4 linked regions of the Oreochromis niloticus genome follow. The protein of the gene in region 1 binds, or shares a complex with, the protein of each later gene. Links are inferred from orthologs where the notes say so. Each region holds a gene or a part of one and is shown in the gene's direction. Other genes may lie near its edges. The genes, in order: ccdc135, drc5, fbxl13 and drc3.

Region 1 (7,132 bases):
TCTTTAATAAAATGATCAGCGTTGCTGCTTTACCAGGTGTAACAATAAAGTTTAACATCCAGGCATCCATGAAAACAGAATTTATTAAATTTAATGGAGTTAGAAGTTAGCAGGAAGTTAGCTCGCTAGCTTCCAACTAAACATGATATAGCATGTTCTGACTGAGAGATTTCTGAAAAAACGCTCTTTAGTTCTGTCCACCAGTTCATAGGTCTTGGAGGTGGATATGTGAAGACTTACCAAAGTGACAGAAATGTAACATTCCAGCCTCCCCTTCAGTTTGCATATTGGGCGACTTAGATGATGTCACTAAAGAGTCCACATTCCTCTCACCACCCTATGCATTGCCAAGAAGACTGTCCACAAGAACTGGAAAAATAAAAATAATCCTAATTCTAACCAATACAGAGACAGTCTGATAGATCATATTAGTGTTGGTACAGCCTGTGCCACCACATTAGACCAATCTTTCTGGCCTGCTTTGATTGGCTCTATCAACTAGTGGGGCTGGGGGCTCCTGGTTTTGTCCCACCTATATATCATTGTAGGTGATGGAGTACGGACGGGGTACTCACTTGGGGTGTTTGGGGGTTCCCTGAGGGTTGGGTTTCTTGTCCGCTCGACCCAGGGGCTGTGGTCATGACCTGGATGGGGCTCTGGTGACTGTGAGCGGCAAGGCTGGGGGGCTCTGTGCCTGTGGACATAGATTAGCGACCTAGTAGCCATGCTGGTCCTGGGTTGGTCTAGGGTGGGCTTGGGGACTTGGGTTCTGGGGGTGTTCCACCTCTGGGTTTGAGTCCTGGTTGGTGTGTTGCTGAGGTTGTGGATGGGTGCATACACAGGGGCCCCGCCCTGGTGCTGGGGGCCTCTGGTGCATCGGTGAAACTGGGGGCCTCTTTAGCTGGCAGGAGGTTTTTAACATCCTTTGCAGGCGGTCTCTGCTCCTGAGGATTCCGCTCTGCAGGTATGTTAATCCCCCCCCCCCAATCTTTTCCTCCCCACCTCCATCCCAACTCCTCCCGCTTCATCACACCACCACACATACAGGACCCCTCCTGGCCACCTGTGCCTCAATTTTATTCCACAACTTAGACACTCACATTACTTACACTCTCATGACACATACATATAAGACCTTGGGAGTGGGCACACTGTCCAGAAGACAGTCTGTTTATACACTCTCACATCTGGTGCCAGTCCCCACCTCTCAATTTTAAATACATGTAGACATTGAGGGTTCTCGGGAGGGGCTTTGCTGACACCAGCTGTTGTCTGGCAGAAGGTAGTTGGCGCCAAGCCCCTCCCATGTTTTAACTACACTTTAGAATAGCACGCATCAAAACCACATATGAGCAGGCAGAGTGAGGTATGAAGTCTTCTCATATGCTGTACGTCGTCTGGGCCAGTGGGCTGGGAGGAGCTGGCCGTCTGTTTGGGGTCTGGGCTGGGGGGCTTCCCTGCTGCTGCAGGACCAGGGGCAGTCTGCTTGTCTCCACCGCAGAGTAAAGGGAACCATCTTCTGGGTCTGGGGCCGATTAGCAGTCTGGCGGTGATGGTGCCTGGACCTGGGGATACAGAGTATGTATGGGGGAGTGTGAGTGCGTGTACTGCGTTCAGTTCTGTGTGTCTCCATGTTGGGCGAATGTGTGAGTATTTGTAAATGTGTGCATGAGGGTGGGAATGCATGTTTGTGTGTGCTCCTGTTTGTCTATGTGTCTGTGTCAGGTCGGGTCTTAGACTCCACCTCTCTCAGAACATCTCAGGCCCACCCAGGTGTGGGGGCCTCTCTCCCTGGACCGCACTCCCTGCCAGTGGCTGGTGCCTTCACCCAACGGTGCATTTTTGGTTCTCAGTGTCCGGTACTGTGTCTCGGATGTGTACTGACTCACTGTTTGGTGGGCCTGGCCCCCTGGCTCTGTCAGACCCTTTCCGGGGTTTGGAGGGTGCTAAGGTCTCTGGGCCCAGGGCTCGGTCTGCGTAGCTCTGCCTAGCTAGCTGCAGGTGGGGCCTGCGGTCTTGTTGCTGCAGCCCCCTGTGGCTGCTGGGTGACTCCGGTCCGGGGCTCTCCTCAGCTTTTTTTTCAGGCAGGTGGCGTGATTGCCTTTCTGGTGGTCCTCCTTGGCCTCTCATGGTCTGGGGGGCCTCTGGATGTCTGGGGCCCTGATCTCCTTTATGGCTGCTTCATGTCCTGGGGGGTAGGGCTATGGCTCTCCACCACACACACTATTAGACAATTACACGGACAAACCTTATGAATACATAAGTGCGCTCACACACACACACTCACAGACTCTACTGCTGCTCCCCCTATGTTCCATGTTCATTATTAGTCCTGTATGCTACATCCTCTTCTAATCTTCTGTTCACTTTGACAATGCCTCGAGTAAATAACAATTAATCGTTATCTGCAAAGAATTTTATAGTCCTCTTCTTTTCTCCAGTTTCTTTCATGGCATGGCCATTACCCAATTTTAACATCCAATCACCTATTGTGCTGTGAAATCACCTGATGCGAGCCATATCTTGTTGTTCTCTTGCCCCTCACCTTATCTCTGTAGACAAAGTTACTTTATCACAGTAGTCACATTTATTCAACATAATTAACTTCAGTTTGCATAATTTCAACATTTCTTGTCATCTCAATTAGAAACACATTGTTTTTGTCACAAACTGGAAAGGTGAGTGAAGTTTGGACCCAAGGGCAGACTTAATTGCACAAACTATTTACAAGATTTATTTACAGGAGTAATCAACTTAAACAAGAGCACGTATATTAACAGAAACTATGAACAGGTGTCGTGGGAAACCAGGGGATGGAGAAAGGTTCTGGCACTCATAACACAAGGAGAGCATGGGCAGGAACTTCTGCAACAGAGGAGAGAAGTATCACTGGACTGGGAAACGAGTGAGCGGGTTGAACTCAGTAGTACTTGTGGAGGGTATGTGCTTACTTGTAGATGCAGGCCGGCTGGCATAGGAGGGGTAGCTGTGAGAGTGTCCAGGGGATGGCGGAGTATGCAGGTGAGATGGATCCAAGTTCCAAGGGGTCTAGAGGAAAGATATATCCACAATTGAGATGACGGGCAGGAGGGCAGGCCGAGGAGCAGGTGAGTGTGAAATCGTTTGTCTGCAGGTAGACTGGAGAACTGGGTGGAAGTGGGACCAGCGGTGCTGATAAGCACGACAGAAGATGGATCTGTAGAGAACTGGAGACGGAAAACACATTAATCCAAAAACAGCATGAATCACGAACACAAGGATGTCTGAGTTACCACCAATGGTAGCAGGACGAACTGGTGGAGAGTGGCAGGCAGCGGTGGTTTAAAAACCCTCCAGATGATGGTCCAGAAATTAGGAGAAGGTGATGTGCTGACAAAACGCCACCTCAGGGGACGAGCAACTGGAACTGGTCTCACACCCAATCAGACACTCCCACGGCACAGTTTCCCTTGATCATTCCATATACTTTTCATTTCTGATTACTTTCTCTAAGAATTTGCTTTTTCTTGTGTCTCTTTTTAACTCAGTATGTGAACTTTAGTATTTATCGATCACAGTTCAAAAGTTAGTTACTCAAAAATGACTTATTCTGTTTTTTTCAGCACAATAAGATCAAAAACTTTTCTGTTTCTCTGTCTTTTTGTCTGCTCCACATTCCTCACTCACAGGCACTTTGTAAGTTTTGATTAGATTTCAGATTTGATGATAAATTCAATTACAGCAGGAACATCTAACATCCAAAGCACATAGATTAAACTCTGTCACTCTCTGCTACATTACACCCACCAAAGCTGGGTTTTAGGCCTTTTCCTTCACCTCTGGTTGGAGCTGAGCCGAGGGATCTCAGTCTCGTTGACACTTTCAAAAAGTATGCAGGTTCAAAGGGCAATAGCTTCACTCTCCAGGCCTAGTACACCATCTATGGGCACACATGTTCATCTTCATAGTGTACTTTTATATAATTAAAGGGAGGATTCTGGAGGGGTATTTTCATGCGATACCTTGACTGGTCTGCCTCACTTCAGATCAAATTGGGCCAGGAAACAGAATAAATTTGGCATCCCTGTTTCAAAGCGCGTCTGAAGTGTGTTCTGTATGAATCCTATTAACTCCGAGGGTAAGTGAATGCAGCATACCTTCACGTCGTGACGTGTTGCTGTTACCATGGACATGAGGCAACGACAACGCTTACGAATGTGAAGCAGCTAAAAACAGTTAACGGAGCCCGGGTGAGTAAAAGTTTAACCAGTTTTCAAAGAGTTTGTTTAAGTGTCGCTCGCTTTAGTTTGATAGCACGTTAAAAAGCACGTTTTAAACGAGGTTAGTTACAGGTCTGTATGTGGGACAGCAGACGTGGTTACTACAGGGAACAAAAACTGAACTGAAATAGAAGTAGATGTGAAATTTAAAGAAATGAATAAAAAAAACTTAAAGTAAACTCATAAAATACTGAAAGTACTAAAACTGATATAAACTAAACTCTAAACGACATTTTAAAAAGAGAAAAAATGGAATACATGCATAACGGTTTGTGAGGAAGAGGACTCCCTTACTATGATTATTTATATTATCTGTATAGCATTGTGAGCACACCTTTCACTTTATTAAAAGCACCTTATCAAGCACTTTATTTAGCATCGCACTTTAAGCATGGATTTGCACAGTAAAACATTTGCACACAAGAAGTTTAATTATATTTATTGGGAATTTTAAAATCAGCTGGCAGCCTCGTTTCAGGTCCTACACAGGTCCTCAATCACCAAAGTGGATGGTTGCAGGAACCAACAGGTCCGTCGGGTTCTTGTCTCCCCAGAAACACTTCCCTTGTGCTTTTGGAAATCAGTTTTTTCCTATTTCTGTTGTGTTTTCGTTTTGTGTTTCGTTTTGTGTGCTTTTGCAGCGTTTTTCTTATTGCTGGTGTTTTCTTAAGTTGCAGTCTGTTTGGCCTCTCAGGGCCACCGTAGTATTGTATTCAAAGTTTTCTTACATTTTGAATGGTAGATGAGGTGTTATCCAGCTCAATACACACTACTTATTTCTAGAGCAGAAATCTGAGATTTAAAAGTTGTGTTTAAGTTTGTTGACAGTGTCAGATAGTCAGATGTTTTTACTGAAGAATTTTCAGCCTCATTTTTTTGAACCAATAAGAAAATACTGACAACAAGATCTAATTTGATTGTATTATTTTATTTAGTAAAATTGTCTACATGTGTGTGCTTTTCTGATGTTTTTCCGTGTGTGTGTTTATGTGTAAACTTCAGGCGCACATAAACACAATTAACCTTAATCCAGTAGGATCGCCAGAGGAGCACAGCACTGATGGAGATGGAGGACGTTTCTGCTTCTGAGAAGCTTCTGTAAGTTTTTTTACACTCATAGACAAACTACATACACACAGGGATGAAGAAAATACACGAAAAGAAAAAAGTTCGTTGTTACCAACTCTACAAAACGCCTTTAAAAGACATTAAAGACAGACAAGACTGTCACAGAGGTTCTGCAGGAGGTTTCTTCCTGTTAAAAGGGAGTTTTTCCTTCCCACTGTCACCAAAGCATTTGCTCACAGAGAGTCATGTGATTGTTGGGTTTTCTCTGTTTCTCTTGATTATCCCTTTAAAACCTGTAACATGAAATAATTGACAGAAAAATCAATCTTATTTAAAATGGAGGCTTTATTTTTGTTTGAAAAAGTAATTAAATTTTAATTTCCATGTATGATTTTTCATTTGCATTTTATTTTCTACATCTGTCCTTGTTTTAAAAATTGCTTTAAAATCTATTCTACAATTTATTTAGATTTTTCTGAGGGAAAAAGTCCCACTGATGATGTAGAAGCTCAAAAAGCATTGTAGGGTAAAGCTGGTGGCTTTGAGGTCATCTTCACGTCTTCACCTGTTCTCCTTCTTCAGCCCCGAGTCCTACAGGAGCAACTCTCCAGAAGAGATTCGACTGTTAGCCATCGCAGAAAACTTCCAGCGTCAGTACTCGCACTTGTGTCCTGACCGCAAACCGCTGCTGCTCTGTCCTGTAAACGAATGTGGAGTAAAGGTAGGTTTATCTCACTCAACCTTTTTCTCTCTGAAGAACAGATCCCATTGGACCTTCACATCTGCAAACACCCTAAATACTTTCTGCATCGCCGTCTGTCTCTTCTCATATTCAGAAGTTTGTGTCGACGTCTCTTCGTCCAACGTCGACCATCCACTGTGAACTGTTCGAGTGGCAGGGCTGTGCCTCTTTTGTGGCCGACTTCCTGTCGTTGGTCCCTCTGGATCCGCCCGTGGAGCTGGTCAGAAAGGAAACAGCAGACAAATGTTTATTTGAGTCTTAGGAGCAAACAAAGTATTTTTTGTAATCAGTGGTTGAGAGTTAAAGCATATGTTAGAGAGAACTTCTTTTATTCTGCTGTTTCTGTTTTGTGAAACCATAATTTTCATAATTCAGATAATTATTGCATATAATGTAATTCTAATATAAGAAATGCTCGTGTTTAGCTGCACATTAACTGCGTGTCATCCTGTCGTGTCTGTATGCAGTATTTTCAAACCTCACATGACCAACAACTGTATATATTATTCTATTCTATTTTATTCTATTGTATATAGTATTTTATTTTATTTTATTTTATTGTATTTTATTGCATTCCAGTGTTTTCTAATTTCTGCTACATAACTTTGCACTTTTGCTGTAACAAAACAAATTTCCCACCTGTGGGACTAATAAAGGCCATCTTATCTTATCTTATCTTATCTTAACTGATGATGTCACACTCAGAGATGATGTGAAAATGTGTTTCTGAGAAGCTGATATATATATATACAGTCATTGTCCCGAACATGTTTCAGCTTTTCAAGATGGTGGATGAGAAAAGAAACAAGACTGCAGCACATAATCACATTCACATCAATAAATACACACATGCGTGCACCTTCTCTCGGTGTGTCTGATTGTGGCGGTGTGCGTCTCTCCCGTTGCAGCCAAAGGTCCTTTCCTCTCCCAACGCGGTGCTGCAGAGTCAGAAAGCCACGTGTTTTGAGTATGCCACTCTGCTGTGCAGCCTGCTGCTCGGCGAAGACTACGACGCCTACTGCGTCAGCGGCTACGCCGTCAAAGAGATGTGTCTGCTCAATCA
Region 2 (7,693 bases), on another chromosome or scaffold:
CTCTGATGACAGTTCTGATGAAGATGAGGATTAGCCCCTTTTTCTCCTCTGGGCTGTAATATGGAATTAGACTTTTCTGCTGTTGAGTTTCGCCTTTCCGTGGAATGTTCCCGGGACATTTAGGATAGAGGATGCAAAGTTTGGTCCAGGCAGGTTTATGTTTAGTTGTTTTTGGTTTTTTTGTAAAATAATCATTTGTGTTGTCTTTATTTTCAACTAAATGAATAAAGTTTATTCATATGCATTTCAAGTCCAATTTCTGATTCCTTATATTTCAAGCAAACCTGGGAATTCAAACTTTTGTCAGTGCCACAGAAATCCTACTACAGGGTGGGCCATTTATAAATAAATAAATGGCCCACCCTGTAGTGGTGGGCCAAACCAAGCACACCATTGTTTTTCCTGTGACATTACCAATAAGTTTGATGTGTCACATGGCCCTCTTCCTATTGAAAAAACAAAAGTTGTATCCAAGATGGCCGACTTCTAAATGGCCACCAAGGTCACCACCCATCTTGAGGAGTTTGCCCCCTCACATATACTAATGTGCCACAAACAGGACTTTAATATCACCAACCATTCCTATTTTATTACGGTGTATCCATATAAATGGCCCACCCTGTAGAATGTTTTCTGGGATTCAGTACTAGCCATGCTTCATACTTTAACTATAGTGATTTGTCTTTTTATATGGTCCCACCAGCACTAAGGGTAATCCTCTAATTTTTCCTGAAGTATTTTGATTTGTCCATTATTGACCAAACACTTGCATATTTAGAGCTCAACCAACAGCTGCAGGTTTAGTGATAAATGTTTTACCTCTTTAACATTCACTGGCCCAGGTAACTAAAAATTCTGCTGTGTTTTGAAAGTCGACACCTTGGTGTTGAGTTACATTTGCAAACAGGCTCACAGTTCAAACAATGTGTTTAAACTGTGATTAAACAACAAATGTTTAAAGCTGGTACCACAGCAACATCAGTCCCTTAAGACCAAACAGCTATTTTGTTATCATAAGGGGGTAGATACAGGCAGAAAAAGGGGATCTAGTGGCTCTTTTATGCTTTGGAAAAGGGATGTTTAATTAGATTAGAATAGAATAGAATAGAATAGAATAGAAATATCCTTTATTGTCCCTCATTGGGGAAATTCAGGTGGCCCAGCAGCAAAGTGATAGGCAGATGGAGCATTCAGATTAAAAAAAAAACTATTCACAACATAATGACAAAAAAATACTGTGGAGTTATTAAGTTATTAAAAAAAATTCAATTATTAAAAACAGAAAAAGAAAAATCTGCAATTAGGAGGCCAACATCACAGCAAGAAGATCCTGGGTCCAAATCCATCTTGTATGGTCTCCCTGTGCCTGCCTGGCTTCTGCTTCCTCCCCGTCCAAAGAAATGCATGTTATGTTAATTGGCTGACTGTGAATGATTGTCTGTCTCTCTATGTTAGCCTTAGGATTGGCTGACAACCTATCAGGACCCTGCCTTTCAAGTGGGATAGGCTCCAGCCCCCTGTGACCCTGAATTGGATAAGCGGAAGAGAATGGGTATATACAGATGGCTATAAATCTCCTATGATGAAATATTTCTATGCTGATGGGCTGCAGCACAGTTTATAATGTGGTAATGCTGTAGTAGTAGCACTTCCCAGAGCTATTCTCATTTATTATAGACTGCCATGGTTTCTGGCTGTGAGTCAGGGATTAGAAGCCAGGAGAAGATGAACCCCAGTAAACTGAATCTTATATAGAAGTGTTGAGATCAAACATAGATCTCCTTCGTCAGCTTTGTTGGTTCAGTTTGTTTTTCCATTAATAGAAAAAGAGGTAAAAGCACATTAATGCTGGTTAACTAGCATAAATCCATTAAGCCTTTTCTTCTTCAGATGGAAACCATCCTCCTGGATTTAATAAGTTAACAAAACTAACAAGTCTCGGTGTGTTAGAAAAAACAAAGGCAAACATGTTTTTAAAACAACATACTGTCATTTGTTTTCTGTGGCTCCCTGCCTTCAATTCATTCCCTGAGTCACCTGGGAGTCGCCCTGCCTTGCAGACAGGCTGTGGAGCTGAGAGGCTTGCAGAAAACCCTGGCAGCATTCCACAGTTTACCTCAGCTCTCACTGCTTCAGCCTCATATAAACAAACAACTGAATGACTTCAAGTCTTAACATAGTGTGGGAATTTTCAGTAGCTTCGCATGATTCATAGTTGCTGAGATTATGTTTCTTTTTTTAAAATTAGGATGTTTACTTGGGCTGTTGAAGTGCACAGGGCGATATTTAAAGGGCACCACTTCCAAAAAGGCCCTATTGTCATCATGCCCCTTGACTATTAGAGCTGTCATCTGAAAAAGATCATGAGATCATGAGTTACTTCACAATGTTACACTTCTAAATCTACCAGCAGTGGGCGTCAGATTTAAAAATAGATTTCCATCTTGGAAAGAAGCACTTCATTTTGGTAAATCCTTCTATCTTTTAGTAATTAGACACACGCTCTGTTGCCTGGCAACTAATGCAACAGCTCCTTGGGATCTGAAAGAAAATGAAAGAGAGATGGCACCGGCTGCTCCGGTGCTAATGCACACAGTCCTCAGACTGCAGACAGGCAGCTTTGATCCTGTGTTAACTCCATGGCCTGGCTTCGGTTGAGGTCTTAATTGCACTATAATCACTGCATCTATCTAATGCTCCTGAACTAAATCACTTATTATCCCTGAGAAACAGCAATTATTCAGGAAGATGTATAAGCAAATATCCTGCCGCGCTGGACTATTTGTTAGGGGGAATAGGCCGATTCCGATGTAAATATTCACACATTCTTAAATTATTATTATTATATCTTAAAAATACAATACTTGCATTGCCCAATGCTTGGATGGTCAATGCATTACCAGAAAGTAGAACTAAAAGTACCCAGGCATGTTATTCTTTCTTTTCCTTCTTCTGATTCGATACCTCTGGCAAACAGTAGGGTTGAATAGCTGGTGGGTGGGGCTTCTGTGCTCATAGCCAGAACTGTGTCCATAAGATAAACATTAGGGATGCCACTCTTCACTGTCATCACAGAGCTAAGAGTTAAAAATAATAATAAAAAAAACGTACTTACAAAAGCCTAACTTGCTCATACACTCTTTACTGTTAATTTTGTCCTTGTTTATCACGATTTTAATAAATTATTGGAAATGTTTTTTGTTTTTCTCATTTCTCTTGTTTGCTTCATGCCAAAACATCAGAGATGCCACTCTGATCAGTAAACATGTGCACCTCTTATGTGGTGCAGTAACAACCCCTCCCTTCGAACACTGTGATTCACTCCACAGAGAGGACTGGGACAGCAGCCTACAGAGTGAGTTTGCCTTCTGTGCTGTGGATGCCTGATGTCATGCCAGTCCATTAAAGCCAGAGTACAAGGGACGCGTGTGTCTGTCAGACCACGTTACACGAGGACGACAGTGATGGACTGCCTCGGGGCTACAGTTGGAGCCTCTCGTTCCTCCATCCGAGCCGCCATCCGACTACTGGAAGCAACCTCACGATGCCAGTAACAGCTATCTAACTGTTACTCAGTCACGCTCTCTCTGCCCAAGCATATGGGGAGCAGAGTCAGGATTGCAGGATCATGTACCTGCTTTCATCCATGCTTGAATGTTACACAGCTGATGAAAGCTGATGAAGTCCACAACTGATTAATTCAAGGAACAAATTTATCCTGCATCTACTTGGTATTTGATTCGGGCACTTTAAAGCAAAGATTCACACAAATGTATGAAATTAAGTGTTACATCTTTCCAATGCATCAATGCAGCGAGGCTACACACTCTCGTTCCTTCTTTACAATGCTACAATGCTTTTCAGACTATGAAAAAATGCTCTAAGTGTAATTTGCGGGTTATGTGATAACAGTGGTGTCAAGTTCAAACGTCTCATTCTCTCAGTGCAATTAGCTCCTACAGCTGACTCTAAAGTTTCTGACTCCATCTCTATCCATGTAAAATAACTTGGCTTTAAATGATGTTTTGCTTAATAACAACCATGAGTTTCTTAAGGTGGTATTTACAGATTTCTCACCTCCTACACAGTAGCCGAGCACCTGTTTTGTGTTGCTTGTGAGACAGATGGATCCACTCCAGTGTGCTCTTTTCCAAAAGGCCCATGGTCCAGACCCAAGGTCCATCTGGCAGTTTGGTGGCATCTGAATGTGTTTCACAGCATGATCACTGCTTCCTCAGATGCAAACCTAAACACAAAGCACTCGTTTCTCTGTGAAAATAAAGCTGTAGTTGTATAAATACTGGATGTTATTTAAACATGCGATCTGTTCCAGGTAGCTTTGATTCCCAAATTAAGCAACTTATGATTGTATTCTTCTTCTCTTTCTACAGCTCATTGTTATTATTATTAATATTAGTAGTAGTAGTGGTAGTAGTAATACTATAGCTTGTCATTTTCTGTGTTGTGTATTTAAGAAAAACTGTTTCATTCAATGAAGCTCGGAAATTTGTTTTCCCGAACACTGGTGACTCACAAAAATGAAAATGATTTCCATGTGAAATGAAATGTGTACATCCATGTGTCTTACTAAATTTTGTATTTATTTTTTGTCCCCTAAACACAGCAGTAAACAGTATAAACATGTTTATACGTACATCGAGGTATCGGTCAACATTCAGAGTAAAAACTCAAATTTCCCAGAGACGTTAAAGTAAACTCACTGCGTTCCGTTCCCATGGGAACAGATGAACCCTAAACCAGTACTGCAGGTATGTTAGCATGTATACGACAAGGATTAGGCTGTGTATATCTAACTAAATGACATAAAATAAATATTAAATAGCTGAAGAAGTTTTTATTCGATAGCTATAACAATGGTGGGACTACATGCTCTTAAGCTAACTATGTAAGATACCTTATTGGCCAGAAGCTAGCAACTTCTGCCCAACTTCAAAAGCGACTCAATAGCCCAATAGCTGAGCTAGTTAGACTCACCACATAACCACAGTTGAAAATATAATATCTGTCTATGAAGGAAACTTTAAATGTGTGATTTATTTATTGACTTATTCATTTTTATTATTCATTATTTATTTATTTAGTCCACTTCTGGCACTTATTTTGTAAAATTATTGTAATAACTTTATTCGAACATTGTTAGGAAATAAAAACTGCACGTAATCGCAAAATGTAATCAAAGTAAGGTTCTAAAACGCTGTTTTTTAGTTGAATTTAAACTAAGCTGATGCAGTTTATAAATTATTATTTCATTTATTAAGGGGAAAAAGCTATTTGAACCTACCTGCCCTGCCTGCCACCCCGTTTGTTAAATTATTATTTTAACCACATTTTCAGAAAGCTGAGTTCAATTTTCTATCCACACCCAGGACTGATCACTGCAGTGATCAGTGTAGTAGACTAAAAGACCACAAAAAGTAACACACCATGCCATGATTGAAAAAAGCAGTTGAGAAACCAAGTCATTGAGATCTATCAGTCAATGACAAAGCAATTTCTAAGGCTTTGGGACTCCAACAAACCACGGTGAGAGCCATTATCCACAAATAGACAAAACTCGGAATGGCGATGAACCTTCCCAGGAGTTGCCGGCATAGCAAAGTTACTCCAAGAGGACAGTGATGACTCATTCTGGGCAAAATGGCACCCATGGGAGAGTTCCAAGGAGAAAACCCCCGCTAACCAAAAACGACACAAAGGCTCGTCTCACGTTTGCCAAAAAATACCTTGATGATCCCCAAGACTTTTGGGAAAATATTCATCTAAAATTTTGGCCCAGATTTATCCACACTGATGTGAAAGACTCATTGCCAGTCACTGCAAATGCTTTGTTACAGCTCTTGCTTCCAAGGGTTGCATAACCAGGTATTAGATTTAAGGGACAAATACTTTTTCACATCGCCAGGCTATTTGTAAGGTGATGGGCCAGATAGATTTAAATAGCTTTTTCCCATAATAAATGAAATGATCATTTAAAAACTGCATTTTGTATTTACTCGGGCTATCTTTGTCTAATGTTAAACTTAGTTTGACGTTCCGAAATATGTAAATGTGACAAATATGCAAAAAAGTTAGAAATAAGGAAGGGGGCAAATACAGCACTGTACTTTCCCCATACACTTCACTTAAGGATTTTTTAAGTGTCATAACTCTATATTATAATGCCTCTCTTTATCCTCCAGGGCTAATCTTAACCAAAGTGAAGATTGCAGTAAGATGAGGAGGATCATTGCTGAAGATCTAGACTGGTCACTGGCTACAGTGTCTAGTTTGTCAAACCTCTGTCTCCAGTGCATAGTGAACAACTTTGAAGGTGGTTTTTAGTATTGTTATTATCCAAAAGTTTACAATCTCACTTGTAATAAAGCTGGAACTTAATTGCAAAATGTATACCTGTTACAGAAAAGCCAATATATGAAGAGCTTACATCCAGTGAGAAGGACTTCATTCAGAACAGAGTGTCCCTTTCCCTGCCTCTGCATTTTGCAGCCAATGTTTTCCCAGATGGCGTTTATTGGAAGCGACGCTGTGAGCAGAAGTGGAAAGTTTGTGATGTCTCTAATTACGGCGAAAGCTGGAAACGAATGTTTTTTGAAAGGCAGCTGGAGAACATCATTGAACTTTTTGTTCCAGGCATAACAGAGCCAAAGACAGTTCTAGACATGGTCACGCTTTGTAAAGACCACATCAAGAAGCTAAACATCGCTCAGCTTCTGCCACCTGTCAAGGAGCCGCAGACGGAGGATGAGGAGCAAGCAACAGAGCTGACACTTGAAAATGAGGATGATAAATCTGGTATGGACCACTTTGACTTTAGGATCTTGCTTGACAAGCTTACAAACCTGGAAGAGCTGCACTTGGTGTACAAAGTCAAATCATGTGGTATGAACTTTGAATGGAGCATGTTTGAGATGACCAACCGAGACTGTGAGTCCCTCGCCAAGGCACTTAAGTCCTGTAAGACATTAAAGGTAAGTATTGCATTAAATTACATAGTACTCATTCCAGATATCCTATCTGAAAAAATCTCCCGCCCGACTTCGTGCAGAAATATATCCCCATTCTATGTACGTTTTTTCCATTTACACAAGCCCTCAAATAACAGGAGTGGGATTGGGTTGAAATTTGGTACCTTATTTTTTTCCAGCATTTTGATCCTGCTGGATAGCTGCAGGATATTTTTGGAACAAAGAAGCTCAAAAAGCTGCAGCAAAAAAATCGGTTTTAAAACCCAGGTCACTCAGGAGTCAAAATCTACTCATTGCTCAATCCAGTTGTTTTTCTGTGACCAACTTTGAGCATCAAAATTAAAGAATATGTCAAAAGTTCTGCAGAAAAAACTGCAAAAATGTATTTTGTGTAATATTGTAATATTTTAATACTTGCTGCGGTTCTGGCTGCGGGGGGGCAGAAGTCTTAGCAGAGACGCCCGGAGCTCATCTGGGCGGACACCAAGGCATTCTTAAGCAGGCCAAGAGATGTAATCTCCCATGTGAGTAATGGGTCTGCCCTGGCACCTTCTTCTACTAGTGCACACCCAAATCCCTCACCTGCATCCATTAGGTATCCTAATCAGATGACAGAAGCCCCTGACCTGGGAAGAGTAGCAGCTCAACTTAGAGTCCCTCCTGAATGACCAAGCTCTATCTATTTCATATTCCAATACTGATGCTCA
Region 3 (6,960 bases), on another chromosome or scaffold:
CCACTCATAAAGCAGGAATCTTACCACATTTAAGTTTTGTTATTTACTTGCAGCCTGATGTGAACCAAATACAGATGCAAGCAAATGAACAAATCTGGATTAAAAAAACCAAAAACAAAAAACCTGTAGTTCTCCTGTAAATCAGATTACCTTGATTGCTTTTGGAAAACAATATCAATTTACACATTTCAGAAATCAATTTTTCGTTTAAAAATGATGTCTGACTGTGAACATATTGCAGTATAAATTACAAACAGAATATAATCAGACCATCTACAGCCTGGATTTAAAAACTCATTTTAAATATTTAATCCTGTTTTAGAACCATAAAGTCAGTTCAGACTGATCTTCACACCAGTATTTACATCATCTCCAACATGAAGCCAACTGTAAAATAAATGCAACCTATAAGACAGTTACAGCTGCTTTTCTGTCCACAAAGTTAGATGGATATAGACTGTAGAATTTATTCTGGACTGCTAATATATCCAGCAAACTGTTTTTATCCTTACAATGATGATTTAAAATGAGGACTACCATCAAATGTGGCAATCAAGACAAGTCAAAATTGTAACACTTTCAGGTTCTTACTGAAATAGTCGATGTAGGTAGAAGAACAGGAAATGGATTTGCTGCTGAAGACCAATCCTATTAAATTAAATCTAAGTTTTTCAGTTTTTAGGTTTTAGAGAATGGCCATTAAGATTACGAATACTTCTATGTACATAGACCACTTGTCAGTAATGTTACCTGCAAATAAAATCCAGACATTGGAAAAGTAAAGCATTCATTGGACGAATTGGATTCAGTGGACCTAAAAGCTCGATTTCACGATCAGAGTCACCTGCACTACTTTAATGCATTTTACATCCAATGTCTTATATTCTGAAGCTGTACCGGCTCACGTGATCCTGGAGAAACTTTGCAATATCTAAGAGAAAGTCTGCAACAGTAGTTTTAGTATTAGTGGTCAATATGCTTATGAAATCAAGCCTTCAGGTAAATAAAAAGCTCCCTCATCTGTGGAGCCAGCTCTGAGTTTATATTCAAGAGACAGACACACCGACTACTGTTAAGATTAGGATTAAAACTTTCTTTTTTGATAAAGCATATAGTTAGGGCCTGATCAGGTGACTCTGAATCCTCCCTTAGTTGCACTGCAACAGGCCTAGGCTGCACTTCTTCATTCACTGTGTTTATACACCATTTTGCATTTAATTATTATTTATCTATCTCTGGCTGTCTCCCACAGCGTGTCTTTTGTCCCGTCTTCCCTCTCTCACCCGCAGTTGGAGCAGATGGCCACCCCTCCCTGAGACCGGTTCTGCTGGAGCTTTCTTCCTGTTTAAAGGGAGTTTTTCCCTTTCCACTGTCTCCAAATGCTCGCTCAAAATGTGGTCGTCTGATTGTTGGGGTTTTCTCTGTATTATTGCAGGGTCTTAATGTTACAGTGTAAAGCACCTCAAGGCAGATGTTGTTGTGTGGCCATCTAAATAAAATTAAATTGAATTTTTTTTAAATCATTAGTAAGTTGAATAAGGTTGGTCCAGTTTCAGTGCTCAGTTTTAGTATTTACTCAGTAGTGCGATGCTCTGTTGTCTATTTAAAGGACAGATTTCCAGGACAGAAGATGTGTTCACAGACAAAAATACTACAACATTTTGGTTTTCATACCTTCAAAAACATGTTCATCATTCTTCCCGGTCCTGCACACTGAGTTGTCATGTCCTTTCATTCACGCCATCTTCTTACCAGTCTCCACTGATTGTTATTATTCTTCCCTTGCACCATACGGGGTGTGAAACAGACCTTTGACAGATATGCTACGGCCCGTGTGAAGCGGTTTTTAGATTTAACGTATGGATTTAGAGATGATGGAGATGTATTACGGGACTCTTGAGGAGGAAGGCTTTTTGTGTTCCTCTTAATAACACACTTAGGCATCAAACCTGTAGGTTTAGGCTGCTGTTCAGAACGCCAGTTGGCCAAGTGTCTGGGCCGTCTACTCACACTGGCTCGAGGCATGTGCCTGTTTGGTTGCATGAAAGGCTGTAAACGTTCAGACCTCACAGTTTGCCTCTGTGGTTTAGAAAATGAGCCCAGTGGGTTTCTTACTCCATAAGATGCGAGCCCACTCTGGGGTGGATTTCTCAATCTATTGTAATGCGGTTTCTGAAAGGTAGATAGGAGTTTTTGATTGTAGAGGTTTGAATTCTCATGTTTTGCATGGGCATTTAGGACGAAGGGAACAGCACTGACTTTGTGGTATCCGGGAACAAAACTCAAGGGTTTGGCGGTAAACATCCAGTGAGCTCTGTCCATCTGTTTTTGCTTATAATGAGGAATTTGCGGGTATTGTGGGCTGCTTTGATAACCCATGTGACCTCTTCTCCACTGGGGTAAGGGGTCATTAAAGCTTAAAGAGACAGAACCACTTGATGGAGGCCAGTGGACGTTGGGAGCATATTTTACAGTCCTCAACTCTTTGCTCTCAGTAGGTTGACGTGCCTGGACTGAAGCACCTATTCTTGTCTTGTATTTGGGCCAATAATGCTGCATGGAGGGGTGATGCTTTTTACCATAGGAATATACAGATGGTAGGATTTTTGCAGATGGGACATTAGTTTGACTTGCTCTGTGGAAGTCTTTAGTGAGTTCAAAGCCACTGGGTGGTCTCCAGTACCTCATTAAAGGATCTCTACTTTGAGAGACATGTACTGGATTTAGCATATCCTTCCAATAAGGTGTTAAATTTGAGGTCTCACTTGAATACTGGCTGAAATCTTGAGATGGGCTGTTTGCAGGGTTCACAGGGGGTGCAGTCACATGTTTACTATAGGAAGAACCCTGCCTGTGAAAGGAGCTGGAGGGAAATTGTGTTTTTTTTGGTGGTTTGTATTGTTCTGAATCCACACTCACAGATAAGTCATTGTTTCCCCAGGGAAAACCGTGTGCCAAATTTCTTGAAGCAAGACCTGTGGCTGCTAAATGATCGTGTGGGTAGAAAGTGGTGCCCGGCCTAAATTTTTGGTTGTCATAAACACTGGAAGAAATGAGACTTGCAGAGGAGTCGACAGGATCAGGGAAAGAGAGGAGTTTATTTGGCGTTTGGTAGTTGGCATCTTCTTCAATCCGATCATTATTTTTCTTGCTGTCACCAGAGGCAGTGCCTCCTTTTTCAGGAGTTGGTCTATAGTCCATGGATGTTCCGAGAGTTTTCATTTTTTCCCGTGCAGTTTCAAAATGTCTACTCAAGTCACTTCCTGGTACTAAGAAGGAATGCTTCATGTTTTCTATAAACTCCTTTAAATGACTCATTGTGGGGAAAGCGACACCCTTCACAGGCTCCTGCATGTTTCCCCTCACTAAAAGGTCAAAGGGATGGTGATAACCAGACTGCTCATTTTGCTCTATAAGAGGAGCAGAAGAGGCCCCGTGAAACTTATCAGGCTGGCTTTGCTTCATCTCAGCGGTAGCATCCTGTCCTTTATCATAAGTAAATGCTTCTGGCTGACGGGAAACAAAGCTTTGCCGTCCAACATTCTCATTGTTTGTATTCAAAGACTGTCCAGAATGAAATCTGCTAGAGGTTTGCGGGCTCTCATAGAGATAGTAGCCATGTGCACTACTGTAACCTATCAGGAAAGAAACATCACATTAAACTTGTGGTCGGTTATGCAAATAAAAGTACTGAAATTCTTACCTTCTTCAGGAGGAAAGCACAAGCAGCTCCACAACAGAGTGCAAAGCCAGGAGAGCCTGAAAAGAAAAAAAGAGACTAAAATACTAAAAATATAAAAGAACTGAGAATAAAATGACATTTTTATTTACCTGAATGAACGAGCCATGAGGTTGAGCTCAACCACAGACTCTACCTGCAGCAGAATAATGATTAAAGCTACAAACCAGCAAAATAATCACTCATGCTCTGAGTGAAGCCACAGTGGCAGGAAAGATGTCAGAGGGGACACAAAACTTTCTCACATTCTGCTTCCACTGATTGCAATCGAAGTTATTGAAAGCAGCTGCTGCTGAGTTAGTTCTTGTAGGTCCTCAAACTGGTGGTGCACGGTGAATTTGATCTGGTTGTATTTTTACTGCGAAACAGTAACTCAGCTTCAGAGAACCTAAAGACTTTCTCTTACTGTTAATAAGTAATGTTATCAGGGTGTTCTGTTTCACTCGGTCAGTCTTTGTCAGTCCAGCTTTAGCTTTATAATCATAATAAACTGTTTTATAAATTAGATAAATTATTATTTTTTTGTTACTTGATTCCCATCCTTTGTTAGTTAAGCCTGGCTCCTGACAGCCTGCCTCCCTGTTTGCTGAATTAATGATGAGCTGTTTCTTGTTGGGTGACAGGAAGTGGAAGAGGTTCATTGCACAGAGCAAGAGAGATACCCTGGAGTTGACTCTGCAGATGGACTTGACAAAAAAGCATTTTGAGAGGAAATGCTGGCAGGTTGCACTTACCAAACTGCTGAGCTGGGTCAAATTACACAAGAGGATGAAAGCTGGTAGGTCAACATTTTAGGGTTTTTTTTTCCTGAAGAATTTATACTGAGGTCTGTTGGCTGTTTTTTTTTCTCGCTCCCTCCTGTACAAAGCCAGAGAAAACACTCACTGAGGTTAAGAAATTTGCCAGACTAAAAGTCATGCTCCCACGTTGTATCCTCCCACTGCCATGACTCATTTTGTCCCTGTGCACCTTTTTACTTATATTCTTAACTCAGTTGTCATAAACCAAAATTATCTTTGGATTTATGATTGATTGGATTGGTTGGTTGGAGTCAATACTTTTGTGCAGAAATGTATATTTTCCTAAGTTAAAATGAATGAACACTCCAGCTCTCACTGAGAAACTGGAGGCCCCTTTAAAAGCTAGATGCCTCAGCCTTAAGTGTATCACTGCTCCATGGTGTAAAGATAGGACTTGAAAGGGACAGGAGACTACTTCAAAACTGAATTAACACTTTTTATCTTTTGTGTGTGTGTGTGTGTGTGTGTGTGTGTGTGTGTGTGTGTGTGTGTGTGTGAATTTTCCCCTGATGTTACAAGTGGGATTTACTGAAATGGACAACAAGCATCAGCAGAGTGAAAAAGGATGTGATGCACTCTCTGTGCTCCCAAACAGCCTCTTACTGAAGGTAGATTCTCTTACAGCGAGCAGCATTCTTGTCTCAGTTTTCTTTGTATTTAGCCTGGAGTTTGTACACAGAAAGATGATGGCTAGTCTGTTTTTGGTTTTTTGGTTTTTTTAGGCTGCAACAGCCCCTTGTTCTCTGAGCAGTCAGCGATGAGCTCAGATATCAGTTACATAACTCTTTAAATAGACTCCACTGTAAACATACAGTCCACTCTCTTTGAGGGTATTTGGTTAAAGTCACTTGCAGATCATTTTCCTTTAATCTAAATACATACCAGAGTGTGCGTGTGTATATACACTTACAGGCCACTTCATTAGGTACACATGTTCAACTATCTGTTAATGCAAATATCTCGCATGGCAGCAACTCAGTGCATTTAGACATGTAGACGTGGTCAGGGCTAAAATTCAAACCGAGCATCAGACTGGGGAAGAAAGGCCATTTAAATGACTGGTATGTTTATGGTGCCACACAGGATAGTCTGAGCATTTCATGAACTGCTCATGCACTGCAATTTTCCCACGCAATCATCTCTAAGGTTTACAGCAAAAGGTCCAAAGAAGAGAAAATATCCAGTGTGTGGCAGTTCTCTGTGGGGGAAAAGAAAATGTTTTGTTCATGCCAGAGGTCAGAGGAAACTGGCCAGACTGTTTTGAGCTGATAGGAAGGCAGGAGTATCTCAAACAACCACTCATCAAAACCAAGTTAAGCAGAAAAGCATCTCTGAATGCACAACACATGGATCCTTGCAGCAGATGATCAGGTGCCACATCTGTAAGCTGGCAATAGGGATCAGAGGCTACAATTTGCACAGCCATTGGCTGCTCTGAGTCTCAATTTATTCTGCAACACTGACTGCTCGGGCTGCTGCTGCTTGGTACACTCTCTGTACTAAATCAGCACAGTTTAAACGCCACAGCCTACCTGGGTATTGTTGCTCACTGTCCCTGTATGACCACAGTGTACCCATCTTTTGATAGCTGCTTCCAATAGGACAACACACAAAGTTCACATCATCATGTTCATGAAACCAGTTTGAGATGAGTCCACTGTGCAGCATCTTTTGGGATGTAACGAAATGAGACATTTCCACCATTAAGGATATCTTGTAGGCAAAAAGGGGTATAAGCAAGGTGTACCTAATAAACTGACCTGTGAGTCCATGTATGCATATATATATATAATATAGCCACTCGCCAACACTGACTCCACTCACCAGTTGAAGCATCTGTTTGTGTGGAATTTGCTTCTGTCCTCGGTCGATGAACAGTGTTTCAGCATGACTATGTTTGGCTTTGGGTGCTTGTTCACATCTGCAGCCACAAATATGGGCAGAGGTGCCAGCAGACCCTGTCAGAGGGCCAATAACATCAAACAAAAAGCGAGGAAGTTGTATTTATACAAAAAATGGTGTCTAAATCCTATGTCCACATTTGTGTATTATCAAAAATATTGTTTTTATTTTAAATATGCTTCAATGTTTGGTTAAAGTTTAGAAACCTAACTGTAATATTTCATCACCTCATGGCAACAACATGATAAACCAGAGTTTTACTGTAACTCCCTTTAAGTATTCAGAGAAAAGTCAAGTGTCATTTGTCTGCTGTTTTTCCATGTGATAAAAAAAAAAAGATGATTTGTGATTTTAATCCTCAGATCTTTCAGTACTTAGAATTACAAGAACTGCTAAACTGTGCTGAAGTATGCTGCACATGGAAATCTATCATCCAGTCTGGCGTGTTGTGGAGTCAGGTCTGCATTTAGAGATTACTTCTTGTGATTAATTTATGATGCTGTTAAAATGGTTTTACTT
Region 4 (7,801 bases), on another chromosome or scaffold:
CAAGAAAGTGCCATAAATATAGCCAAACGGAAGAGTAATCTTTGTAAGAAGAGGTTTGGATGAAGTCTTGGGTCCGTAATCATGAGACTACCATTCTATTTCATTTTCACAACGCTGCAGTTTCCAGCTGTCACGGTAAACCCAAACATGCTATAAAATTTTGCCAAACACATGCTCCTCCAAAGCCTCCAACTCTAGTAAATTAACTGAAAAGAGCCAAGAAGTCAGTTGGGAAGTGGAAAGCCGAGATCTCAGAGGGAAAGCCACACTGACTGACAGTGAGTGATCCAGCTGTGCACTCAGTTTTAACTATTACAACATCCAAAAAAACAGAAGTTCCAATGACCTGCTCTCGCCTTCACACTCCACCCTTCCACTTAATAGCATTTTGGCTACAAGGAGGAAATAAGGGAAGCCAGACTGTGAAAGCTGACAAAGATGAACTGGCTCTGCAGTCATCACTGCTCCCCGCTCCATCTCCTTCTTCCTCAGCGGCCTTCCAAATCCATCCATCATGTCTGTGGAAGCTGCCGTTTTATAGAAACACAGAGACTTAGAGCAAAATTTTTAAAAAAGAAAAAAGGTTCTACTGAAGCAAAGTACGATACAGGTTCTGACTGCATAGATCGTCATTAGATGAGTCCTGAGTGTAGACAGGAGATGTTCCTCTGCGGGAAGCTCAGAGGCCCTCAGCAGGATGTCATGCCAGAGCCAGGGGTAACACAGGGCCATGCAACCACTGGACATGCCTCAAAACCATGACTTATTCATGCTTTAACTCCCCTCTCAAATCAACGTTTCACAGGCTGGGCAGCTTCAACAAACCCTTCTACAAAAATAAAAAGGCATGCAGTGAATTCAAACATGAATACCACTTAAAACACCTCTGAGTCCACCTTCTGAGTCTACAGCATCCAGAGCATGAGTTTGAAAGATTTAACCAGCTACTTCCTCTGGGATAACCCATGTAATCTCCTCAAGTGGATTGTCATGTTGTGGCAGGGCAAAGCACGGGCAGCAGAGGATAGAAGGAAGGGATGCCCCCCCTAAAACTCTGATCTATTCGTGTGACACACACTGTAAGGACACTGAACATGAGCCTACTAATGGAGTTAAATGCCTGCTAAGTGCATTAATTCACGGTGTTGTGTCAAAGCCCCCACCCCGGCCCTGAGAACTGACACCACACAAGTGAAGCCAGTCGATCACATGGCTTTAACAGAGGCAAGCTGTGCCATGCACTTGGCAACAAAGCCACAAAGTCCTTCTCTGGTTACAATGTGAACTTTTAAGACTCTTCTTTAATTCCTGCCTTTCGTTGTCTCCACTCTCACATATTTGCTATTTGTCCCATGCGTTTGTCTTGATATTATTTGATTGATTTCCTCTCATACACGTGCCCCGGTCATAGTAACAGCTGCCAAAGGTTGGTTGTCTTTATTAAATATGGACACAAATTGTGGTAATGCATCGGGCTCTTACAGCAATTAGATTTACCACACATCTCCACTGTCAGGCTTGAACTCTCACGTTCCCTTTGTGTCTGGTAAGATGATACTTTGCCCCTCCACTGAGGTGTACAGATCACTACCGCTGAAAATGACAGCTGGGTGTCAAGCCCCAAACAATGCAGCAACTCAACCGGAGAGATCTGGCAGGAGACACGGCCAATTCTGTGATGGAAGAGGGGGTGGGGGTCCAAGACATGCTGCATGCAAAAACAAAAATGCATCTGGTTCTGCCCAGTCGAGAGCTTGATTAAAGCACTATATGGCTCTGCAGAAAGTAAAAACATGAATAATTCTGACACTTAACCAAAAATACAGCAACTGTTGCATTTGGTCAAAGGCAAGCACAAACAAACACTGGGAGAAATTAAAAGTCTGGCACACATCTGTTTTGCAGGAGTTTGCCAAAGCATTAACTCTATTTCACAAAAACGGCGAAAAAAAGTAAAGTTCAATGTACCTACGTCACCTACAGTACACTCCTATTTTCACATTCTTCAAGTAAACATAAATTCTTATCTTTATACTTCATAAAACAGCTGTTATCAGTAGCCGGCTCATTGGCAGTTATAAAGACATGGTCAGGCCTTGATACCAACTATTATGAATCTCAGCTTGTGTTGAAAAACAAATCGGAAAATGCAAATATTGATGCAACCACACCAAAGGGATGCTGCAGCTCACGTATATATCTCCCCTGGGGAGAAAAAGCACCACACAGTATCGAGATTGGAGGGGAAAAACCTCCAGGCTGACCGCACAGTTTGGTCAACTATTGTTCAGAAACTAAGGAAATATGGAAGTTATCTGGGTCTCTCTTGAAGACACTTTAAGTCATGTCAATACAATAGCGTCAATTTCAGTTAACCTGATTTGTTCTTCTTAAGCTGCAATCAGTGCCTACACATATGCATGGTTATTTAACTTAATGCATTTCTTGTGATTACACCGGACTAAGTTATGGGTTAGCTGGCTAACATTAGCTGAGAGCCCATTCCAGGCAGATGACGTTTGCTACGATGACACCCGTTAGCTCGCTATTTCCACCTTTGAGCCCAGTAGTAAACAACATATGATGGCCCACATTCAAAGTACGTGAGGTGAAGGAAGCAGCAAGCCTTTAAAAAATAATTTCAGGTCTAACGTACCTATACACTGGCCCACGGGAGTACTGTACGGATTTCCAAGTAAGAACTCCATCTTGACAACAAACGATCCGCCCGGGAATGACAGGCTTCGGCCCAGAGGCAGTACTATCAAGTCCCGCCTACCAAGGAATTCTATTGGTTCAAAAAGTTCGACACGTACAGAGATCTTTGGACACGTATGGCTACAATCGATGTCAGTCACAGTTAGTAACTGAAGCTATGTTCAACAAACCTTTTCTACGTGCATGTATTTTATTCATTAAAGAGGGGAATAATAACTCTAAACAGCTAATAAAAAACAATGCAGACAAGGATTAAATCCTTGAAATATAAAAATTGAATGTTCATATTTGTTGACTATATATAGCTCATATCTTGAAAAAGCCACCTACCCCCCCAAAAAATACGCAAAATGTGTGATCCCAAGTAAACACAATTTCGACTTGTGGTGCTTTTACGAATATAAGAGATACATGCACATTACAAGTAAGTAAGTAAGTAAAGTTTATTTATATAGCACCTTTCACGGACATATGTCACAAAGTGCTTTACAAGGTAAAAACATAATACAGTCATAAAATACATCATAAAAACCCTGGTCTAATTAAAAGCTTTTTGAAATAAAAATGCCTTTAGCTGCTTTTTGAAGGTCTCCACTGAGTCCAAACCCCGTAGAAATAGGGGAAGTGCATTCCACAGTCTGGGTGCAACGGCTTGGAAAGATCGGTCCCCTCGGGTTTTAAAACGAGTGTGGGGGACCACTAAAAGGTTTTGGTTTGATGACCTCAGGTTACGAGTGGAGGTATGTGTACGAATCAAATCAGCAATGTGGGGGGGGCTTTCTCTGTAATGCTCTTAAAGTTAAAACTAGAATTTTAAAATGGAACCTGAATCTGATTGGTAGCCAGTGCAGCGACTTTAAAACAGGGGTCATATGAGCACCCTTGTTCGAGCAGGTCAGTAGCCTCGCTGCAGAGTTTTGAACAACCTGTAGGCGGGCTAGCCCTTTCATGTTTAGACCAGTTAACAGGCTGTTACAGTAGTCAAGTCTTGTAGAGATAAAAGCATGTATTATCATCTCGAGTTCACTTGTTGACACGATGGATCTAAGTTTAGAAATGTTCCTCAAGTGAAAAAAGCAGGTTCTTACAATCTGATTTAACTGTCCCTCCAAAGAAAAAGCTTCATCAAAAATAACACCCTGGTTTCTAAGGTTATGTTTCTGTGAGGAACCTAGGTCACCCAGTCGCCGTTTAATATCGGGTATTGCACTGCCTGGTGCAATAATCAGTTTCTGTTTTGGCCGGGTTTAACTGTAAGCAATTATTGTTCAACCATTGTTTAATGTTGGTTAAACAGTCAATCAGATTGGAGAGCTTATGAGCTTCAGCAGGCTTAAAAGAATAATATAGCTGAATATCGTCAGCAAAAAGATGATAAGATACTTCAGGAAACTGCTGTATTATCTGACTTAAAGGAAGAATGTATATTAAAAACAGAATAGGTCCCAGCACAGAGCCCTGAGGAACTCCACACAACAACTCTGTAGATTCCAACATGATCTGGTTTGCAGACACACTAAAACTCCTTTCAGATATATAAGATGAAGACCAGTCTAGAACAGAGCCAGACATCCCAACCAGGTCTCTCAGTCTGTTTATCAGGATGGTATGGTTGACTGTATCAAAGGCTGAGGTAAGGTCTAACAAGACTAGGACTGTGTATTCTCCGGAGTCTGCTGACATCATAATATCATTAATAACTTTCAGTAGTGCTGTCTCAGTGGAATGCAATTTACGGAACCCAGATTGACAACGGTCATGGATGTTATATTTCTCCAAGTATGCCGTAAGGTGGACAGCTACTGCCTTCTCAAGGAGTTTTGACATAAATGGGAGTTTGGAGATAGGTCTTAAATTTTGAAGTAGTGTTGGGTCCAGGTTGGGTTTTTTGAGCCTTGGTTCCACAATGGCATGTTTAAAAAAGCTGGGGCACAAGATAACATCAGACTTAAAAGACAGGATTTATAGTTAAAGCAAAACTCTTACAAAGTCCTGTCTCAGATTGATGCTTTTTTCAACGGGATCAAGTACTTGAATGCAGCTTAAAATGAACCTGTTGCTATGTAACTGAGCGTAAACAACAGAGGTAAGTAGCGGCATACTGAGTTTATCGATAACACCAGCTGATTTTCTGTATTTTTAAGCATTTTGCGGTGACAAAAACAGCAGTAGGTAGGTTTGGCTTTGGCTAAATTCAGGTATTTATATCTTAGAGAGCCAATGACGGTGTTTGGCAGTATATTCAAAGCAATACTCTCAAATATGCATACAGTGATGTGGAAAAGCATTTACCCCCTACCTGGTTTCTTAAGTTCTGTTTGTTTTTAATGACATATTTTTCTTTTCTTTTTTTTTATCAGAGTGTAAAGTGATGCCAAGTCTGTCTCCGGTCTCTAAACAGCAGCATGAGCTCGGAATATATTATCTCTGAGCCCACGTCGATGGATAAAGAGATCCTGCAGCATGCTGTGCAGGAGCTGTTTAATCCAGATCACGTCCTGCGTTTTCCAGATGCGAGCCAAATCCACTTTAATGAAGTCCAGAAATTAAGTCTGGAGTACAAAAGTGAGGGGAAAATCATGAAGGTGATGAGGAATGTAGCAATGTTTAGCATGCTGATTTTGCTTGAGTGAGATGATGTTTTTTTAATATATTTTCAGACATCCTGAAGATTGACCACTTATGGGACTTCTCATCTTTGTCCAAACTTGAGTTAAATAACAACACTATAGAGAAGATCCAGGGACTGGACCATCTGATTAATCTGACGTGGCTTAGTAAGATACAAAGTTTGTTCTTGTTGACCAAATGATGTGTAGGCACTGCCATCTTATATCAGCTCAGAAACTACTGGTAATGATGAGAGTAATTTCGAATGTGTCCCTCAGATCTGTCATTCAACAAGATTGAGAAAATAGAGGGTCTGGAGTGTGTGCAGAAGCTTGAAGTGCTGAATCTATCCAACAACAAAATCTCTGTCATTGAAAATATGGACACACTTGAGAACCTAACTCATTTCTTCATTTCAAACAACCTAATTGGACAGTTGGATAATGTAAGAAACTTTTCTGCATTTGCAATGAAAGTATGAGGAAACATTCATGTGTTACTGTTTAATTAACCTAATGCATTTCAAAGGTGCTCTACCTCAGGAAGTTCAAGAACCTGGCAGCAGTCAACCTGTTTGGAAATCCTTTCCTAAACGAGGGTGATTACAGATTTTTCATCGCTGCCTACTTTCCAAAGTTGATGTTCCTAGACTCCAGAATACTTGACCAGAAGACAGTAAGTGCAAACCCAATCTACGTTTTGTTCTACGCTTACCTTTAAAGTAGCATTTACATACATATTTACAGAGTATGAGTATACCCAAGCCTAGGACATGTATGAGGACAGTGAGACAGTGGTGAGGTGTGTAGAAGGAGTGACAAATGAGTTCAAGGTGGGGATGGGATTACACCTGAGCCCCTTTTTGTTTGCAGTGGTGATGGACAGGTTGACTACACTGTTTGCACATGAAAATGTGATCCATAGTGAGAGTAGGGAACAGGTGAAAGAGAGTCTGGAGAAATGGAGGTGTGCTCTAGAGAGAAGAAGGAAGGTCAGTAGAAGCAAAACGGAGTATATGTGTGAATGAGAGGGAGACAGATGTAACAGTAAAGCTGACTGTACCCAAGCTTGTTTGAAAGTCATCCTCATGTGCATTTATGAATTGCTGGTTGATGCAGAGTAACTACATTTTATTTCTGTGTATGTACAGAGAAAGGAAGCATCTATCAAATATCACTATGTCCTTGAGAAAATGAGACTTGAAGAGCTGGAGCTACACCAGGCTGATGAGGCTCGACAAAGACACGAAGCTGAGCTAAAATTACATCGAGTACTATCTTTTTTTTGTGAGTCATCTGTTGATTTGTATACATACAGTCTGACACTTATGTTTTCTTTTTTGTTGTTTCTTGTGCAGGATGCCTTTGTGGAGTTCCTTAATGGCTCTTCTCTGTTTAAGAACATGTTTAAAGATGATCCAAAAGCACAAACACTGCACTGTGCGCCAGGAGTGGATTCTCTGATTCAAACATATCTTTTATCATCCTGGTTTCCTAATCCGTGCGTGCATTGTTATTATTGTCATAGTACAGGCCAAACCAATCATTCCTTTTGGTTCCTTGACCTTGCACTTACATTTGAGCACCAAATGGGGGAGCTGTGTACACAGTTATTTGAAATGGGCTTGGCTGAGCACAAACGAAGGGAGACGGAGGTGAAGTCTTTCTTCAGTTGCCAAGAAAAGGCTGTGACAGACTGCCAGGAGAAGGCATCGCAGATGTTAGCAAAGTTTAATCATGAACACAAAGAGGCAAGCAAGGAGCAATCCCCTTTTCCATGTGCACAGTGATTTACATGAATGCAATGACTCAGCATGAGATGATCTCTTGTGTTTTCTCCTTTAAAGAGGACAGAAGAGTTTCAGCAGTTATCAGACCCAGAGGTACGCAAAGTGAAGATTGACCACTGCAATGATGAAATTAACCGGCTCTGTAAAAACCTCATGACACTGGAGTTTCAGCTGGTCAGCGAGATGGAGGTTAGTGTATGCTAGAGATTGTACACCTTGTATAATTTGTAAAATATCCCAATGAAATCTCATGAAATTTCTTACTTTATAAATAATGTTAAAATACTTGATATGTCATGAGATTCCATGTCTGTGTTTCACATTTAATCACAGTGATGCTGCTTGGTCATTTCAGGAGAAGATCAAAACTTTTGACAGCAGCGTCTCAGACATGGTTAGACACTTCAGTGAAACCGCACAGGGGATATATCCTTTTTTTTTTTTTTACAGGAAAGCAACAGAATTGCTTCAAAAACATTCTAAAAACACTCATTAATGTATGCTAATAATTATATAGTCATGAGCACTGCGACACACTGGTGACCTGTCCAGCACACCCTGCAACCTTGAATTGGATAAGCAGAAGAAAGTGGTTGATTAACTCACCAGCGTGTCATAGCATTTGATGGGCTTTAATCAATCAGATGTATTCCTGTGTGAGAGATTTCTTTAACAAAACCATAC

What was found.
Region 2: ccdc135 (region 1) and drc5 share a complex: the UniProt entries of both Homo sapiens proteins name them as parts of the nexin-dynein regulatory complex. The link is inferred for Oreochromis niloticus from reciprocal best matches to the Homo sapiens genes DRC7 and DRC5.
Region 3: ccdc135 (region 1) and fbxl13 share a complex: the UniProt entries of both Homo sapiens proteins name them as parts of the nexin-dynein regulatory complex. The link is inferred for Oreochromis niloticus from reciprocal best matches to the Homo sapiens genes DRC7 and FBXL13.
Region 4: ccdc135 (region 1) and drc3 share a complex: the UniProt entries of both Homo sapiens proteins name them as parts of the nexin-dynein regulatory complex. The link is inferred for Oreochromis niloticus from reciprocal best matches to the Homo sapiens genes DRC7 and DRC3.

Annotation. Positions count from the first base shown.
Region 1 is NC_031984.2:2,435,239-2,442,370, reverse strand, and holds the start of ccdc135 (dynein regulatory complex subunit 7), read left to right. Parts: upstream 1-4,131; 5' UTR 4,132-4,229; intron 4,230-5,295; 5' UTR 5,296-5,319; coding exon 5,320-5,357; intron 5,358-5,909; coding exon 5,910-6,048; intron 6,049-6,163; coding exon 6,164-6,289; intron 6,290-6,977; coding exon 6,978-7,132. UniProt on the Homo sapiens protein: Component of the nexin-dynein regulatory complex (N-DRC) a key regulator of ciliary/flagellar motility which maintains the alignment and integrity of the distal axoneme and regulates microtubule sliding in motile axonemes.
Region 2 is NC_031980.2:14,145,450-14,153,142, forward strand, and holds the start of drc5 (dynein regulatory complex subunit 5), read left to right. Parts: upstream 1-4,687; 5' UTR 4,688-4,769; intron 4,770-6,200; 5' UTR 6,201-6,234; coding exon 6,235-6,331; intron 6,332-6,420; coding exon 6,421-6,989; intron 6,990-7,693. Other genes in the region: E3 ubiquitin-protein ligase rnf8, read left to right, coding at 1-34. UniProt on the Homo sapiens protein: Component of the nexin-dynein regulatory complex (N-DRC) a key regulator of ciliary/flagellar motility which maintains the alignment and integrity of the distal axoneme and regulates microtubule sliding in motile axonemes.
Region 3 is NC_031972.2:56,431,177-56,438,136, reverse strand, and holds the start of fbxl13 (dynein regulatory complex subunit 6), read left to right. Parts: upstream 1-3,950; 5' UTR 3,951-4,071; exon of another isoform or gene 4,072-4,185; intron 4,186-4,362; 5' UTR 4,363-4,420; coding exon 4,421-4,517; intron 4,518-5,058; coding exon 5,059-5,147; intron 5,148-6,803; coding exon 6,804-6,899; intron 6,900-6,960. Other genes in the region: uncharacterized protein LOC100695371, read right to left, coding at 1,732-3,635, 3,704-3,759, 3,832-3,848. UniProt on the Homo sapiens protein: Substrate-recognition component of the SCF (SKP1-CUL1-F-box protein)-type E3 ubiquitin ligase complex.
Region 4 is NC_031969.2:18,075,988-18,083,788, forward strand, and holds the start of drc3 (dynein regulatory complex subunit 3), read left to right. Parts: upstream 1-4,793; 5' UTR 4,794-4,804; intron 4,805-4,813; exon of another isoform or gene 4,814-4,890; intron 4,891-5,078; 5' UTR 5,079-5,123; coding exon 5,124-5,283; exon of another isoform or gene 5,284-5,303; intron 5,304-5,378; coding exon 5,379-5,495; intron 5,496-5,606; coding exon 5,607-5,773; intron 5,774-5,856; coding exon 5,857-6,003; intron 6,004-6,478; coding exon 6,479-6,798; intron 6,799-6,903; coding exon 6,904-7,078; intron 7,079-7,174; coding exon 7,175-7,306; intron 7,307-7,472; coding exon 7,473-7,543; intron 7,544-7,801. Other genes in the region: tom1l2a (TOM1-like protein 2), read right to left, coding at 2,657-2,708. UniProt on the Homo sapiens protein: Component of the nexin-dynein regulatory complex (N-DRC) a key regulator of ciliary/flagellar motility which maintains the alignment and integrity of the distal axoneme and regulates microtubule sliding in motile axonemes.